Drosophila melanogaster: one gene and its partners. The gene in region 1 interacts genetically with each later gene. Each region holds a gene or a part of one and is shown in the gene's direction. Other genes may lie near its edges.

What was found. Genes that interact genetically often act in the same process or in processes that back each other up.
Region 2: of lap (region 1) and cnc, changing one enhances a phenotype caused by changing the other (phenotypic enhancement), as found in Drosophila melanogaster (one study listed by BioGRID).
Region 3: of lap (region 1) and jing, changing one enhances a phenotype caused by changing the other (phenotypic enhancement), as found in Drosophila melanogaster (one study listed by BioGRID).

What each region holds. Positions count from the first base shown.
Region 1 is NT_033777.3:7,185,014-7,190,388, forward strand, and holds the start of lap (like-AP180), read left to right. Parts: upstream 1-1,980; 5' UTR 1,981-2,398; coding exon 2,399-2,534; intron 2,535-5,110; coding exon 5,111-5,253; intron 5,254-5,375. Other genes in the region: CG10055 (uncharacterized protein), read right to left, coding at 1-744, 801-1,197, 1,293-1,558. UniProt on the Drosophila melanogaster protein: Assembly protein recruiting clathrin and adaptor protein complex 2 (AP2) to cell membranes at sites of coated-pit formation and clathrin-vesicle assembly.
Region 2 is NT_033777.3:23,218,705-23,224,321, reverse strand, and holds the start of cnc (cap-n-collar), read left to right. Parts: upstream 1-2,360; 5' UTR 2,361-2,476; exon of another isoform or gene 2,477-2,560; intron 2,561-3,425; exon of another isoform or gene 3,426-3,678; 5' UTR 3,679-3,905; intron 3,906-5,072; 5' UTR 5,073-5,414; coding exon 5,415-5,617. UniProt on the Drosophila melanogaster protein: Plays a role in posterior cephalic patterning. Probable subunit of a heterodimeric regulatory protein involved in the control of head morphogenesis.
Region 3 is NT_033778.4:6,499,894-6,505,262, forward strand, and holds the start of jing (jing), read left to right. Parts: upstream 1-2,112; 5' UTR 2,113-3,145; coding exon 3,146-3,795; intron 3,796-5,369.

The sequences.
Region 1 (5,375 bases):
CACTCCCAGGCCCAAGTGTTGCTTGTTTACGTCCATCAGCACGTTCTTAAGGTTGCGGGCAAGAAGGCGCATGTGCTCATCACTGCAGGCGCTCGGGCTGGTCACATATCGTATATAGTCCTCCAAATAGTAGTTGTTGAAGCTATCGCGACTGGGATCACTGCTGGCGAACTGCTGGTGCGTTAGCAGCAGCTGATTAATTAACCAGTTGCGACCGCCCTTTAAAACTTCTATGGCATCCCGTACACATTGGCGGCCCAACTCGAAATTGCGGTACAGCGGGTAGGTGATCATTCGCCGCAGGAAGGCAACCAGTACGTCCCGATAGTTGTCGAATTGCTCAAAGTAGCAATAAAGCGGGCACAGTATGCTTCGCGTCCAGCCCGATTCACACGTCGGCTCATTGTTCGTCGTCCGCACATCATAGCATATGGCCAACAGAATGCTTATCAGCCCGCAATCGATCTCGTTTTGCCGAAAAACGTCGCACGGCTGCTGCTCCCGTGTCTGCATTCGGCTGATGTTGTGCAGCAGATGCGCTTGCTCCTGGGTCATGGAAGTCTCGTAGATTTTCGGTTTGTAGCGTAAAGGATTCTGGTGACCGGACGGAACCTGTAGCTCCACAAAATTTATTTTGTACTGCTCGCGGGAAAAGCGCTTCATCTCATCGACCACGCGCTCTTGCCGCCTTTGGATGGGGCTCATGCGATGTGGCTCCGACACGCGGCACGTGGCTCTGTCCAACTGTGAAAACATCTGTGTTTAGTGCGCGGAAGAGCAGGTTAACCAATTGAACTCACCTCACTCAGGTCTAGCGGTCCGCTGTATTCGCTAGCATAGCCGTACCCAAAATTGTTGGTCAGCTTGTAGGTGCGCTCGTGGTCGTCGAGCTGCAATTGGCACTGATCGGTGATTCGTTTGAGTTTCCATTCCTGCACCAGAGGCTGCTTGTCCGGCAAATTGGCACTCAGTGTGGGTAGGTGCAGGAATGCGGCTATGTACTCTTTGCGACTATTCCACTGCTTGGCTGCATCCCCCGTACCACCGCCTCCGCCTCTTTCTCCACCGGGTCCTTCCTGGGCACCCGCTGTTAGGGGCAGACAGCGCAGGCAAATTTGGTAGTGATTCTCTGTCGTGTTGAACTTTATCAACAGCGTCTTCAGCTCTCGCAAGTCGAAGGTGCGACGGCTGTGGAATCTGTCCGAAAAGGGAGTACAAGTACGCAATGATATCGCTGGAATTTCGCCACCATGGCCCACCATGGGCACGACAGATTGCCGGATGTGACTCACTTGTACAGCTTAACATCTGCGTAGAAATAAAGATCGTGCGCGTCAACGAATATATCGCAGTTTCTTATGCGATCCACATGCAACGCCTCCGCTTCCGCCAACCCCGACCCCGCTTCCTGACCAAACTCCTCACCAGCGGAAGAAGAAGCAGCAGCAGCTGCTGCTGGCTGGGCCGACTTTGAGGACTGATTCAGGACAGGCGGGCGGGGTATGATCAGCGTGCACGAGTTCTCCAAATAACTGTGTGCAATCTGTCCATTCAACATCTTACAATTTTATTACGAGACTGTTGATTGTGCTAACTACTGTTTTTTAGTATAATTTTATTTATTTTAATGACCAGTATGACCGCCTACTCGAAACTAAAAATTCCTGTTGACAGCCCCTTAGCTTACGTTACGTTTGGCTACACTTCCGACAAATCTAGCTACTTTTTAACTGCTGTTGGGGAATTTTAAGTGCTAAGTTATAAAAAAAGATTTATTTATAGTATCTTAATATTTTATATTTTTATTTATTTATTTATCATTATTTTTTTTTATTTTCAGAACTTATATGAACACATCGTAAAAGCTAAGTTCAGCTATTTCGTATTCGCTTACGTTATGGCAATCGATATTTTCCCACCTAACGCCGTAAACTCAAGTCGATTGCACGCGTTAGCTCCACTTTGTGGACGCTTTAGGACATTGCTCATACGCTCGCTCCATTTGCCAGTCGCCATTATCGATTTGTGGCAGAGGAAAAATAGAGAATTAAAAAATCGCGTTTCAGCGTTAGGCACCGGTTAGAGAGCGCATAAACCGCGGCGATAAATTGTGTAGTGATTGTGACGTAGGAACCACTAAATCTTTACTGTTAGTTTAATCGTGAGGCTCGCATAGCAGAGTTTTCCCGTTCGAAATATTCTCAATCAATCAATACCTCTCTGTCTCTCGCTCGCCCCATACGCGTGTGTGTGTGTGTCTCTCTCTCCCTCTCTCTGTATCTGCTTTCGAGTGTGTGTGTGTGTCGGTGTGGTCAGCTCCTTTGGTGCATAATTAAATTAATCAAGTAAATAAAAACCAGCGAGCGGCAGCAGAAACAACAACAGCAACAGCTTCATCATGACCATGGCAGGGCAAACGATCAACGACAGGCTGCTGGCCGCCCGTCACAGCCTTGCGGGCCAAGGACTCGCCAAGTCCGTTTGCAAGGCCACCACGGAGGAATGCATTGGCCCGAAGAAGAAGCACTTGGACTGTGAGTTGCCCTGTCTATCTCTTTCCCTTGCCCACTCTCTTGGTCTTTCATTGCGTAAATCACCGTTACATTTCCTTGTTATAACACAGAGAGAAAAGAGGCACAGCCTTGTGCTACTAGTGGAAATGTACCCATCAAACACACGAAAATATTATTGTTACTTTGTAACGCTTTAAAATTAATTTATTTTTATTTGCAAACATAAGTCGCAATAAAATCTGTTTAGAAATTAACTTAAATTTTAATAATAATAAAAATTGGAATGAATAATATACTAAAGTAAGGAGTGCCTAACAAATTAGCAAAGAAAATAAAAAATTTAAATGTAGCCTAAATATAAAAACCATCGGCACAGTTAGTACGCTGCAAAAGTAATTTAGCAACAACATTCAGATGCAACCAGTTCGGGTTTCTTGGCTTCCTCGCTCCATTTTCACGTGCCTTTTGTTTTTGTGCGATAAATCACAAAGTTTTCTGAAAACGAAACCACTGATTACGGTCCACAAAGTCCCACAAACACAAACCACCACCCTCAAATTGCATCTGTGGCTCAGCTGCTGGTGTTTGTGGACTCCGTTCGTCATTGATTGGACTCCCCTCTCTTTCTACCAACACACTCTCTCTCTCTCTCTAATGTTACGTCACTTTCCCACGGGTGCACGTGTGTTTGTAGGGGCTTTGAATGGCTTAAAACGCCTACGAAAGCAGGGATTGTGTTTGTCACGGTGTCATTGCTTGTTAAATTTATGCAAGAGTCTTCCCTAATTTGCTGGATTTGCTTACACGTTTGAATTTTGCAAATACTTCTAAAGAGCTCCATATCCTAACGACATTCATTCCCGTTGGAATCTGTTTTTTTGGCTAGTTTTGCTCGCATTTTGACCCCCTTTTATTTAGCTTGTTGGCACTTTTCAGATGACTCATCAGATATGGCTACGAGTAAATGGGAATAAAAGAGGGCAATATTGTGGGGCGTTACTTGTCACATAAACATTGTATTGCAGTTGCCGCAAACCAATTTCCAATATAACCCAAAATTTGGCCACATGTGCTGTTTATTCAAGTTGATTACTTTATCCAAAACGTTATGCTCAATTCAGTTACCAAAAGTCTAAATAAATTAAACCTGAGTTAAAAGTCAGTCCGTACATTTTACAAGACGTCAGCAGGTAGCATGAAATATATTTCTTCTACCTATTTTCTCTATTTTCTTTTGTTAACAACTTTTGTCCTATGATAAAACCAGTTGTGTGTTCACGGAAACAACAGCACTTAATGAGCTTTACACCGATTGAAAAGATCCCAGAATATTTCAACCAGCTACACAAGTGGGCAATAATAATTAAAATTAAGTATCAATGGTCCCCCACTACAGTGGAGTCTCGATACCCGACACATTTATTTATTTATGTATTTAAGAGCATAAGCATGCGAATTGACCCCAGCGATAACTACGCTACAGAAGTCGCCAATCGCTTTTGGTATCCGAGCACTGTAAATATTTTCGAAATATATGTGAATCAGTGAAGATTTCAAAAAGGGCGGATACGAATTTTAACTAAATAACTCATTCAAAATGTCTTAACTACTCAGCGATTTCAACGTTTTGTCATAAAGTGACACCCCCAGGCCACTGTGCTCGTTAAGAAACTCACCAGTTTCGTTTACAAGGACCGATCAATTTTCCACATTTACTGTTTATTGAAATTTGTTCTTATTTATGTATAAATGAATCACTGGCCTGGCGCCCGTCAGCCAAACAAAATGAAGCAAAAGGACGGCGAACATCTGCGATGGCTTGTGAAATGTGCAACGCCCCTCGAATCCCATGCAATTTTTTCTTGCTCGGCGACAAACACTTTCCAACCGAAATGGGAATTGATTCAAATGGAAGCGCATGATAGTAGACACAATGGGATTCAGCTCTTATCATCGACACTTTTCCGTCAGTATTTAGCTTGAATGGCGGCTGCAAGCTTAAAGCGCAGATAAGCAAACAACGACTAAGAGTCGCGACCGATAACGGGACGCAAAAAACAAGATGATTAAATTTATGGGAGGTTCGGTTATTATAATAATAATAATCTTTACAGAAACGTTGTTTGTTTCTGGAACAGATAAATTGACTTTTAAAGTTTTATGTTGCTTCTTAAACATGTAAACATTTGTTGTTTTGCTCATATGAACTAAGTTTTCGTAAAAAAAATATACTGTTGAATAAATCTAGAGGATAATAACTAATAGTTGTCGGCGGTTATATCGAATCTGATTGATTTTTCCAATAAATGCTTGGGAAAATAAATATCAAGTCAAAGTTAATCGCAACCAAAAGTAAAGTTGAGTTGGACGTACAAAATTAAGGAAAAGAGCAAATGGTTCACTAACCGAAAATTACAAAAAAAAAAAACGTTCTTTATTGTTTTCTAATCTACTGTATGGATATGCGTTAAGAAACTAATATAAAGCTATGCTTAATAAAATGATTTTCATTTATTATTTTAAATCAATGTAAAATGTTAAATTAGTTTGTGGTTGCTTTGTGTTAATATAAGTTTCATACCTTTATTTAATTGCAGATTTGGTGCACTGCACAAACGAGCCGAATGTGTCGATACCTCATCTGGCCAATTTACTTATCGAGCGTTCACAGAATGCCAACTGGGTCGTCGTCTACAAGTCGCTGATAACCACACATCATCTGATGGCATATGGCAATGAGGTTTGTATTTGTGTATTTATCGGAATCTAGTGTTTGTGCGAAGCTTAGGGGCGTATTTCAAATACATTTTTACTTTCATTTAAGCGTTCGAAATGAGGTAATCTATTTTGTTTGATTTAATA
Region 2 (5,617 bases), about 16 Mb from region 1:
ACTTGCCATTGTAATTGTTGATTTTTTTCGCACATTTGGTTGAGTCATAGCAACAAACCGAAGATCACAGCTTTTTCGAATTGTTTACTTTGAGCATTATTCAAAGCGTCGTAATGGGATTCCCAGAACTCCTTAAATTGAGCCATAATACCCTTAAGCTGCGTATTGTTTAAACAATAATAAATACGATTTGATGGTTTGCCAACTTCTAGGTGGCCCAATAAAAAACGTATTTGTTTTGAATAGATAATAGATAGATAATATGCTCATATAGAGAAGCAGACCGTTAAAGGTCAAAATGATAGCTGTTATGAAAAAGAGCAAATAAATTATAATATTGATTAGTCTACACAATTAAGTACATTTCTTATAAATAGAAATGTCATTTAAAATTGCTAACACCATAGATTTTAATAGTTAAAGAAGAAAAGATTAACAAATAAGTACGAATCTTTTGACCAATTTCTATAAAGAACCTGTCGATTAAATTTATAGCAGGGACTCATGGCTGATTCCCAAAATTTAGAAGTGCGACCAATTTAATTTATTTTATGATTCATTTATTGTCCCAATCTAATCGAAAAATTCCCCCTGTGGAACATTGGCTGATGTAATTTGCATTCTTCCAAGGCAGGGCCCACTGTATTGTGTACAATGGAGAAATCCCTCTATGGTTACTGATACCTAATACTTTGTTCCCAAATCAATTGATAGATAATGAATGCCGTTTCCACGCGGTTATCTTTCTGGATTCTCGTGGGAGTTGATATTGTTGTTGGGCATCCACTGTACTTATCTACATTTGAATTTGTGTGAATGTGTGTAATTTTCTCAATAAATGGCAAATAAAACAAACCATTAGGTTGGCTATATCTCATTTTTGAATTCCACCCGTCGAAGTTCGCTTATCAGTTTTTATAGCTCATTTACAGTGAAAGTTCGATAAAGTTACTAGCAGGGAATTCGAAGAAATTAAAAATAAAATCACACGAGTATGGCTACTAAAATATATATGAATTTATTATATCTTTGATCTGTCACATTGATCAAAATGAGTAAAAACACATTTTCTTATACGCCGAAAACAAACTGTTTATATTTAATGTCGGAACAGAATTATTAAGTTCAAAACCACCATCCTAAAAAAAAGCCTAGTCAACCTAGTGACCCATCCTTATCTGTGTGTTCGCTTTCATTCCAGTTGACATATTGACTCATCACCATTTGTGCCAGCTGATAAGCAATAATGATCGACTTAGAGGATCTGCCTCGGCTGCAATCCTTGTCCCCGGCGAAGGACATCGAATATACCTACCACCAGACCCAATTGCAGCTGAATCCGAAGAAGAAGGTCACCGTCCGGGTGCCCATTGGACCACCCTCGAAGTTGAGTAAGCTGATTAAGCCCACGGTGGCTTCCACGCCCGCTGTACTGGCCAAGCCAACGCCATCCATCACCCAATCGACGACGCCAGGTAACGCCAAGACCAACATTTGGAAAGGTGGCTTCCATTTTACCAATCTGGTAAGTATTGAAAGGCTTCGGTGTTAATTACTTTATCCAAATGCCAGCACAAATGTTCCCAGTTCAGAACGCAATATATCTATAAATTACCCCCATCAATCTAAATTAATTTTTATGAGCAGGTCTTTTAGATAGATTGATAGTCTTCTAGCTATATTTTGAATTACACGTTCTGAATAGTGTGGCTATCTGTTTTATTGAGCAAGTCTAATACAAATGTATCCATTTGTGATATCAATAGCTAACGGAAGTTATTGTTAAGATATTTGTATTTTTGCATGCATGTAGAATATCAATATCAATATCATGAAAAAAAATTATTTTAAATTAATATTAAGGAAATATAAAACTATATATATCCCTTTATTTTTAATTTTAATACAAATTTCAACTTTGTTATGTAGAACTAGTTAAAAAAATGACTAATGCAAATTAACTGAAAAATTTGCATGGACACGTGTCAAAAGCTTATAAGCTTACACCATATCTACATAAAATTGCAATAGCCACCATGTCTACATAAGTTACTCTTAGGGAAAATATAAATATGTTCTTTATATTCTTAAGATATTCTTTCTAAAAACTAAATCTAGAAATAAAAGGTAGGTAATAAAGATACATTTGTAACCGAAATCTACATTTCTAGCTCTCCTTTAAAAAGCTCTTTCTGTCACTGTTAGTTTAAGCTACATTTAACATTTCTGTTAAAAGCACAATGTATTATGGTGAGACCGCACTTGGCGGCCCCGAAAAAAACCGCAAAAGCACAAAACTCAACAAAATCGTCTGCAAAGAGCCTCAACTGGGCACACTTGATAAAAGCACCGCGCTGGACAGACGTTTTTTGCCTCAAATGTTTTGAGGCCGCAATCGAAAATCGCGACTGATTTCGACGGCGGAGAAATTGCCAAACGCGGCGTAACAAACAAAACACGTTTTCAAGCTCACCACGTAGGTACGGCGGTTGGCGAAAGAGAGTAGCAAAGCGGACGCGACAATAATTTGCCAAATAACAGTGAAAGAAGACGCGTAAAGGTGCGAAGTACACGCCGCTTAAATTGTGTGTGTGTGTGTGTGCGTGTCTGGCTGCGTGTGCTTGTGTGCCGGAACAACAAATGAAAAAGTTTCGGTTGTGCGTTTAAGAACTACAGTTGCGAAATGTTGCATGCCCCACTAAATAAGTGCAACTCATTGTGTGGTGGTGGTACTGTCGGTGGGGGTGGTGGGTTAAAGGCAATCAAAACAACAACGACCAACAGGCTAGCAACAACAGTTATTCAGCAATCGCCCCCTCTCGCTCTCGCGCTCAGTCTCCCTCTCTCGCTCCCTCTCCACCGCTCAGCTGACAGAATGCAATCGAGAAAAACATCGAGTTAGAAAGAATAGGGAACGAAAAGGAACTAGCAATTTGATAAATAATTTGTTGATGCAAAGTGCAGAGTGAATGTTGAAATGCTGCCGTTGCCGGTTATTCTCTGCTCATTCTCGAAGCTTCCATATTTCATTTTTCCTATTTGTTTTGCTCTCCGCGATTCTCAGCAAAAAATTAAATCGTTTTGCATTTAATTAATTGCATTAATTGTGGGCACAGACCGAATTGGAATTGGCAAGAAAAAACAGCAGTTGTATGCTTCAACGTGTGCGTGTCTTTTTTTTTGGTGTGTGAGTCAGAGAGAGACGAGAATCGGGCGATAAAAGAAAACAAAGAAATACAAAGCAATGTGGAGGCAAAACACATGCAAATATTAGGCAGTGTAAAAACAACAAACGAAGCGAAAATATTATTGTTTTAACCCTTGATGGACTTGACAATTTTTTGTACCTTAACGTAGTTAAATAATTTTACAGCTGTCTTGAAAATCTTAACATACAAATGACTTCAAATTCTAATTTGACGTAGGTCCAATATAGGGTTAACAAATAAGTGACGATTTCACCACGTAAAACGGCACCACCACCACACACACTCTCACACAAAAGTGCGTACCAGACGGCGAGAAAGAAGCACCAGGTGGCACATAATCAAATATCAATTGTTATTAATATTTAATGGCACTTGAATGCAAATTGTCTGCAGAAGAGAAAGTTCAAGGACGCAGACAAGCGAAATATATATTTAAAGTTGTTAAATAAATAAAACGCGTGTTTTCCAGCAATTAAAAGTAAAAATCGTAGAAAGTGAAACATAAACAAATAAGGTCTTGCAGAGCAAAAGAAAAGTGAACGGTAAACAATAAACCATTGTGTGTGCTGCAGGGAAGAAGAAGCAGCGAAGAGGAAAAGAAGATCAAGCAACGGCAACAACAACAAGGAGAACATTTACTGCGCCGCAGCTTTTTTACCGTTGTAGTCGGGTCTCATCATCCAAAAAAAATTTGAGGTGAGTGCACTGCAATACAGCCACAATCACACGCACACCCACACAAGAACCCTCTCTTGCACGCACATGCACACGTCATTTCCCTACCCCTCTCTTTCTCTCTCTCGCGCACATCTTTTCATTGAGAATTGAGCCAAATAAAGTTTGGATTTTTGTTAAAATGGCTTTAAACAAAGAAAGTTTATATCGAACCTTGAAAGAATTTTGCACACAATTTTTTCGTCCGTCCTTGAATCGGGTGCTTCACTTCGCATTGCGCACATTTCAAATGCTCGCGAGAGACCTTGAACAAGTTCAAGTTCAAAGCCATTTCGTCTGGGTCTGGGTCATTCCTTCCGCCTCACGCCCCCCTTTTTCGGGTGGGCGGTTGTCTGTTAACCTTGTTTAAGGGGGGGGGGGGTGTGTGTGTGGCTGGACAGGATGGGCATATTAAATGCGTTGTGGATATCAAACAGAATTCGGACAAAACAACAACCAAAGAAGGATACATGCATATATGTATTTATGTATTATACACACATATTTCGGAAAATTCGATTCTTGACCTGCTTAATTGTCTCTGAATATGAAATTAACTATGCTGAAATGCGCTAGGTCATCATCATAACAGCCTTTCTAGGCTATCCACTTTGGTTTGGTATGAAAACAAACTATGTGTTGTGTTTCTGTAGCAAAACCTTGTTAGTGTTTCTGCACATTTATAATTTCAAGTTTAAATAATAGAGATAAGGGATGTTTCCTTACGACAATCTTTCATTTATTTTAATATCTCTCGAAAGTATTACTTATGTACCTTAACTACATAATTGCGAACAGAAAAACATAATTGTGTTCGTTTTTGCTAAATAAATATGAATCCTAATATAATCGCGATGTGGAAATTAGATGTGTTTTTAATAAAAGACGTTACCGACCCGGAAGTTGAACTTTCTTTGGTGCACTTCCTCGTGCTTAGCAATTTATAAAATCGACTGGCAAACAAAACAAAGGCTGCACCACTCGAAACAAAAGCATTTTCATTTAACATTCAAACTGCATATATGGCCATGCGGCAATGTATGAATATTACACTACATATCTACATACTTGCATATGTACATATAGTTAGCAAATCGTTATGCTTACTAATTCCATTCTATTTGTTGTCACATCTTGATTTGCTTACAGAACAAAACCGAGGACAGCCATCAATTAAAAGCAAAGAGCATTGGAAAATCGGGGAGATAGGCCGTGGAAACTGCGAATTTTCAGCTTTTTGCGCAGATTTCGGAACGCCGAAGGAGGAGGAGGAGGAGGAGGCCGGAAGGCGGGGCAAGGCGACGTCATTGAACGCATAGATCCCGGACGACGCAGCCGTAGAGCTGTTGTCCGGGACGGAGAACAACAAGAACAACAGCAGCGGAGGAGGAGGAGGAGGAGGAGGAGGCGGCGGGCGGAGGTGGACTACGGACTACAAGAGTCACCCACGCACCCATTCGCTCACGTATCGAAACCTCTGAAAGCAACAAAATGATCTCAAACAAAAAATCGTACGCTATGAAAATGCTGCAGCTGGCTTTGGCCTTGAGTCTGCTGCATTATAATCCCGATTACCTGCTCCATCGCTGGGACTCGCAGCTGGAATTGGGCACCCATGGCGATGGATGGGAGCTGGAGATGCTGCGGACGGTACACCGCCTGGATATGGATCACAACCCGTATGGAAATCGTAA
Region 3 (5,369 bases), on another chromosome or scaffold:
CATTTTATGGTGAGCACATAGTGTTAAACGATATGGAAAAATAAATTAAGATCAATAAATTAAAAATGAAAAATATGTAATCAAATTTTTCTTTTTCTTGTTTGATCAATCCATGCAGCTAAACATTTTAAATAAATAAGCTTTTTAAATGCCTTTTCAAACGTGCGGAAAACCTTTTTTAAAGTCGTATTAATACACATTAAATTGGAGTCGAACGGAAAATATTTAGCATGGAGTTGATGTGAAAAATTTATTTAACATAAAGGTTTCTGTCTTCGTTTATGCGTTCGGAAGTTTTAGATATGTGATTATTTATGAGTCTATTTTTTTATCGTAATTAAACTGACTTTGCGTTGGTTAACCAATTTTCCCGTTGATGGTCAAGGAACATCATGCAGTTCGCTATCAATTTTAAACTGGTTTGATTCCTTACTTAGTTTACATGCCCACTTATGTAATTTTGGAATTATCTATAAAAATACTGAAAAGGCATAACTGTTTATTTGGACGTAATCGCTGACAAAAGCTGTATGCTGTGGCAATCTGAGCTTTACACTGAGAGCATTTAAAAGACCCATAATTTTTTTTTAATTGTGATGGGCTCCAGTATAATTGCCAGCTTAGATATTTTATTGAGGAAATGTTTGATTATATTTTATTTTTATATTTAATAATTTAATTTAATATTATCTACACATATGTATATGCATCTACAAAAATATTCAGCGAAGTATGAATGCAGCATTATGGTTGTTTTTCTCTCAATTGTCTCAATCCTATTTTCACTCTCTCTCTCCGTTTGCTGCAGTTTAATAGCTTTCCGGAAAATGCAGCGCAAAATGCGAACGCAAGCTTATAAACTTATTTAACTTGTCACTCTTACGCAGTGTATTTTTGCATTTACAATGGTTGAGTGAGCTATTTTTTGCAGAGCTTTTGTGAGCTAAAACATTTTGATTGTATTAGATGCATTCCTCGGAAATGAATTCATTCACTTAATTAAAGTGATCCCAAGTATGTGCAGTGTAAAACGTTCAATAGGAACAAACATTTTATTGGTAGAGTAAAACTGGACACCAAACGAGTTTTGTCGCACTCGCACACACCCGCAAAATTCTCGCGTAAACATGTCTTCTTTGTCCCTCCTGTTTTTGCAGTCTCCCTCAGTTGCATCGCACAGACGTACGTACCATTGCTTGTAGCGTAATAAAAGCACGTGTTGTGTTTGATTCCTCGCTCCCTCCCTTTCTTTGGTCTTTAAAAACAGTTGCGACTTTAGATTGTGTTTGTGAGAGAGCTGGTCTGGCTGCCTTGCTGTTTTGTTATTGTTTGGTTTTTGCCATAACTTTGTTTACTTTTATCTTTTTTTATACAAGACTCGTGTTTTTTTTGTTTTTGTTCTTGACTTTTTTGGCCTTATTAAGTGTGGGCCAAAACAGATACATATAGCCAAGGTATTGGTTATGGGTGCATATTCTCCACACATCTGTATTTAGCTTCAAATTCGAGCTCAAGTTCCCATATAACCATGCTCGCTTGGATGAACCGGTTTTGAGTTTTATCGAACCGCAGGAACCTCTTGTATTCTGATTAGTTCCCACACATATCAACAGGTAGCTGCAGCTTGGGTCGCTTGTGTGTGAGCGAACTTGCCACCGCGGACACATCGGAAGTTGCTGCCCATCTAGCCAGCCGCCAAATGCTGAAATTCAAATACGGAATCTCTGAACTTCCCCAGAAGTTCAAATGCACACACTCACACACACAGAAAGAACTCACATTGTAGCGCAACAAGCTCCCCACGCGACCCTCTCTCTTGGTCCCGCTCTCGAAAACCTGCTGCCGCTGCACAGAAATCAAAAGTGAACACACTGCACGCGGCCCTTTCTTCTCCTCTTCACCCTCAGCTCGTCGGAGAGCCCCTATTAAAACGAACGGCAGTTCGTTGCCTTCGTTCTTGCTTCGCGTGCTTCGTATCTTGATTTGTGCCCGGTTCTAGTTGGCTAAGCCATTCGGCTGGCACTCGGTCCGCCGCCTCGCTTCTCGTCGGCTACCTCTTCGGGTGGGGCCGCAGCGCTCGGTCCACTCCCACTCCACTTGGCCCCACTCGTCAGTCAGTCGGCAGGCAGAGCAAGAGCAGCCCGCAGCTTTTTCGTGGGGAGATCGCAGTTTTTCGCTTGCCAATCGATGGCGTTTCGGAATTCTTAGCTTGCAGTGCAGCGCTTCTTAGACTTTGTTTAATTTGGTTATACTGCAATTGGCGGCTATTAAGAGCAGTGACCACTACATTAATTATGAATGGTACGCGCGGCAGACAAGTTGGCCCCGCGATAAGTAAATCGCTAGTTTGCTGAGGCACATTGGAATGCATTTGATTAGATTGCGATGTGTTTGTTCGCCCGTCATTGTTGTCAATAAACAAAAGCTGGCTCGCAGTCACAGCGACTAGGAGGTTAACCTGACTTACCCGTTTCGGTTTTGAATTCGGTTTCATTGTCGCTTTCTTGAACTTGCGAGCACCGCGTGGCCAATCTTGCAGAATGAATTTCGGGTGTGCACCGGAAACAACCGACAGTGAAATAACTACTGGCCATTCACAAATCCATAAAGCACAGTGTAACACTTTGTAACGGATCGCAAATCCAACCACCCCACGCAAATCAAAACCGAACCCGCGACGTCGATTAATTTTATGATGATCAAGTAGTTTCTCGTTGAAATATCAATCGAATTGAAAAATGTGTGTCATAAGTGCAGAAGTGAAGTGCAGCTTAATGCCAAAAGTCATACAAGTGCAATTGATTTAAATGAATTTTTGTTTAATTTGTATAAATATTTTTACTTCTCGTAACTCGATAGTCCGACCCACGAAAGTCGTAAAATGCAAGTTCATGGCGATATATATATACCAATTTGTGCAAACTGATGGGGAAAATCGGAATGGTAACACCATTTAAGGGCAGTGCGGCTAAAAATTGCTGACGAGCAACTTTCAGATTAATGCAATTCAAATTGGCTTTCCGTCGACTAACAATAAGCCGTTGGGAATAGCAGATGTGTGCTAAAGCAGATCCAGAGTTCTGGCAGCAGTTAACACCAATTAAAAGCGTCGTTATAGCAATAGTGCAGCAAACATAGAGGGAAAATGTCAGTCACTCAGCCAAAGGATACGGCATTAAAGACCAAGGAGTCGGCAGCTGAAGTAGCAGCCCCTCTGGCCCCACTCTCTGTCAAAACAGCAGGAGCAACGGGACGGAAAACTTTAACCTCCAGCGCGGCTTTGTCACTGTTTGATCAGCTGAAAAATAGCGTCAATACAAACAGTTTGACAATTGGCGCCGGCGTCGGCAACAACAGTAGCCCAGAAGCCACACCACCTATAACAGCACCAGCCAGTACAACCACCGCCTCCCCGATACTTACTCCCAAAAGCCCACCACCCACACCACCCATCAACAAAAGCCCGTCTCTGTCCTCCAATATTGAACTGAAGCCCCCGGCCAAACCCGCTCGGCCCTTTACCTCGCCCAGCACTATTGGAATCGTGCAGGGTACCAAACGGGGGGTGGGCGGAGTTTTTGGCGGGTTTGGAGCCCAAGCCGCCAAATTGGATATAAACGCATTGCGATCTCAGCTCTACCAGGGCGCCAGGAAGACTGCAACAACATCTCGAGTGGGAGTCGGCAAAACAACAACGGTGGCAACAGCCCCAAGAACAACTGGAGGAGAACGTGGCACAAAGGGGTCCAAGAAGAGATGTCTAGATCGGTACGACTCGTCGGAGTCATCAGACAGGTGAGTGCATGTCGTGGGCACACTACTGAAGTTTGGCATTTTGCAGCGATAGGGAAGTACGTTGCTCTTCGACAGTTCTAAATTCTAGTCGTAATTTGAGATTTTTTGAGGTTTATTTAAATGCAAAGGCAGGCACGATGGTCGTATCTAATTTATGAAATATATTGAAAACTTAAAATTTTTAAGGAACACAATAAGACTTATTTAACAATAATAAAAAATAAACTTTTTGCATAAACACCTTTAGTATACGCCATAAAGACATTCAATAGCAGCTTACCCCGTCCCCTTTTCATCGACGTATTTAATGGCATCATTAAGCGTCTTAACAATGCAAGCTGCCAAATGTATTTCTTAGATGCACTGCCTAACTATAAAGGGAAATGCAAAAGTGTATCTGCGAACCGGCTGGCTGTGCCAAGTCTGAGCCAAAGAAAATTCTCTAAATATACACGCGCGCTGTACTGCCAAAAAGTGATCCAAAAGTGTGATCCGTAAGACACAAATAGAATGCAGCCCATCCCAATCATGATAAACGTATGAACCAAATCTGCAATGCTCAGCGAGATCTGGAAAAAGCTAATAGCCGATTGAGCTGAATTTATCTGACAGGTAATCGTTCCGATAATTGTACAGAACAGCAAAGTGCCAGTCTTGTAAGGGGCCTACGAGGCACGTGCCTCATAGATTGCAAATTTATGGCTTACAGATACATTTGTATCTACTCAAATGGGCAGCCACAAAACCTCTTGCCGCAATGCCAACTAATTTCCGCTCATTAAAAATGCGCAGCACAGTAGAGGCAGCAGTGGAATGGAAACAAAGGAAGAGCAAAGGCCGCAACGAACTGCAGGCATTTGTATCTGGCAGATACGCACAACATGCGTTCATTTATCAGCCGCAAATGGCGGCTGATGCGCCGCAGTAGCAGAGCTGCTGATTTTCCATGCGGCGCGTGGGCGGTTGAGCAAACGAAAACAGCTTCCTGGCTGCATCGATGTAGATATAGATGCAGATACGAGTCCGAAACCGAAACCACCCCCTCGGGGAAATTAATCTTGAATATGGACGGTGCTCTCTGCCGATCTGCTGCACAATTGTCGATTATGTTTAAGTTATGTTTCGGTTTTCAGAAATGGTTCTGATTCCATACATATCTTCTAAACGCCAATGTGGCATTTGTGTCTGGTTTCGCAGCAGCATGTTTCAAATGTTTTGTGGGGAGCGTTTTGTCAATTGGCTTGGCCTTATCACCGTCCTCGTATCACCTCCCCAAGATCGCGTTCCCTCGTTGACTGGTGAGCGATTTCGGCGTTGCTTCTTTCTCTTCGTTGGCAGTCGGAAATCATTTAAACTTTTGGTCGTTGAACTCCTTTTGATTTATTTATTTTGTTTGTTTCTGTTTCTGTTTTTCTTCCCTTTTTGGTTTTTGTGTGTGTGTACTTTTTTGTCGCCGCCAAAAAGCACTGCATTTTGTTGTAGCTTTGTGTTTGGCTCGGTTTTTATTTCGATTTCGTTACGTTTTGTCCGAATCTTTGCACTGAATCTTTCCAGAGCTGTGCGCCTAAAATTTG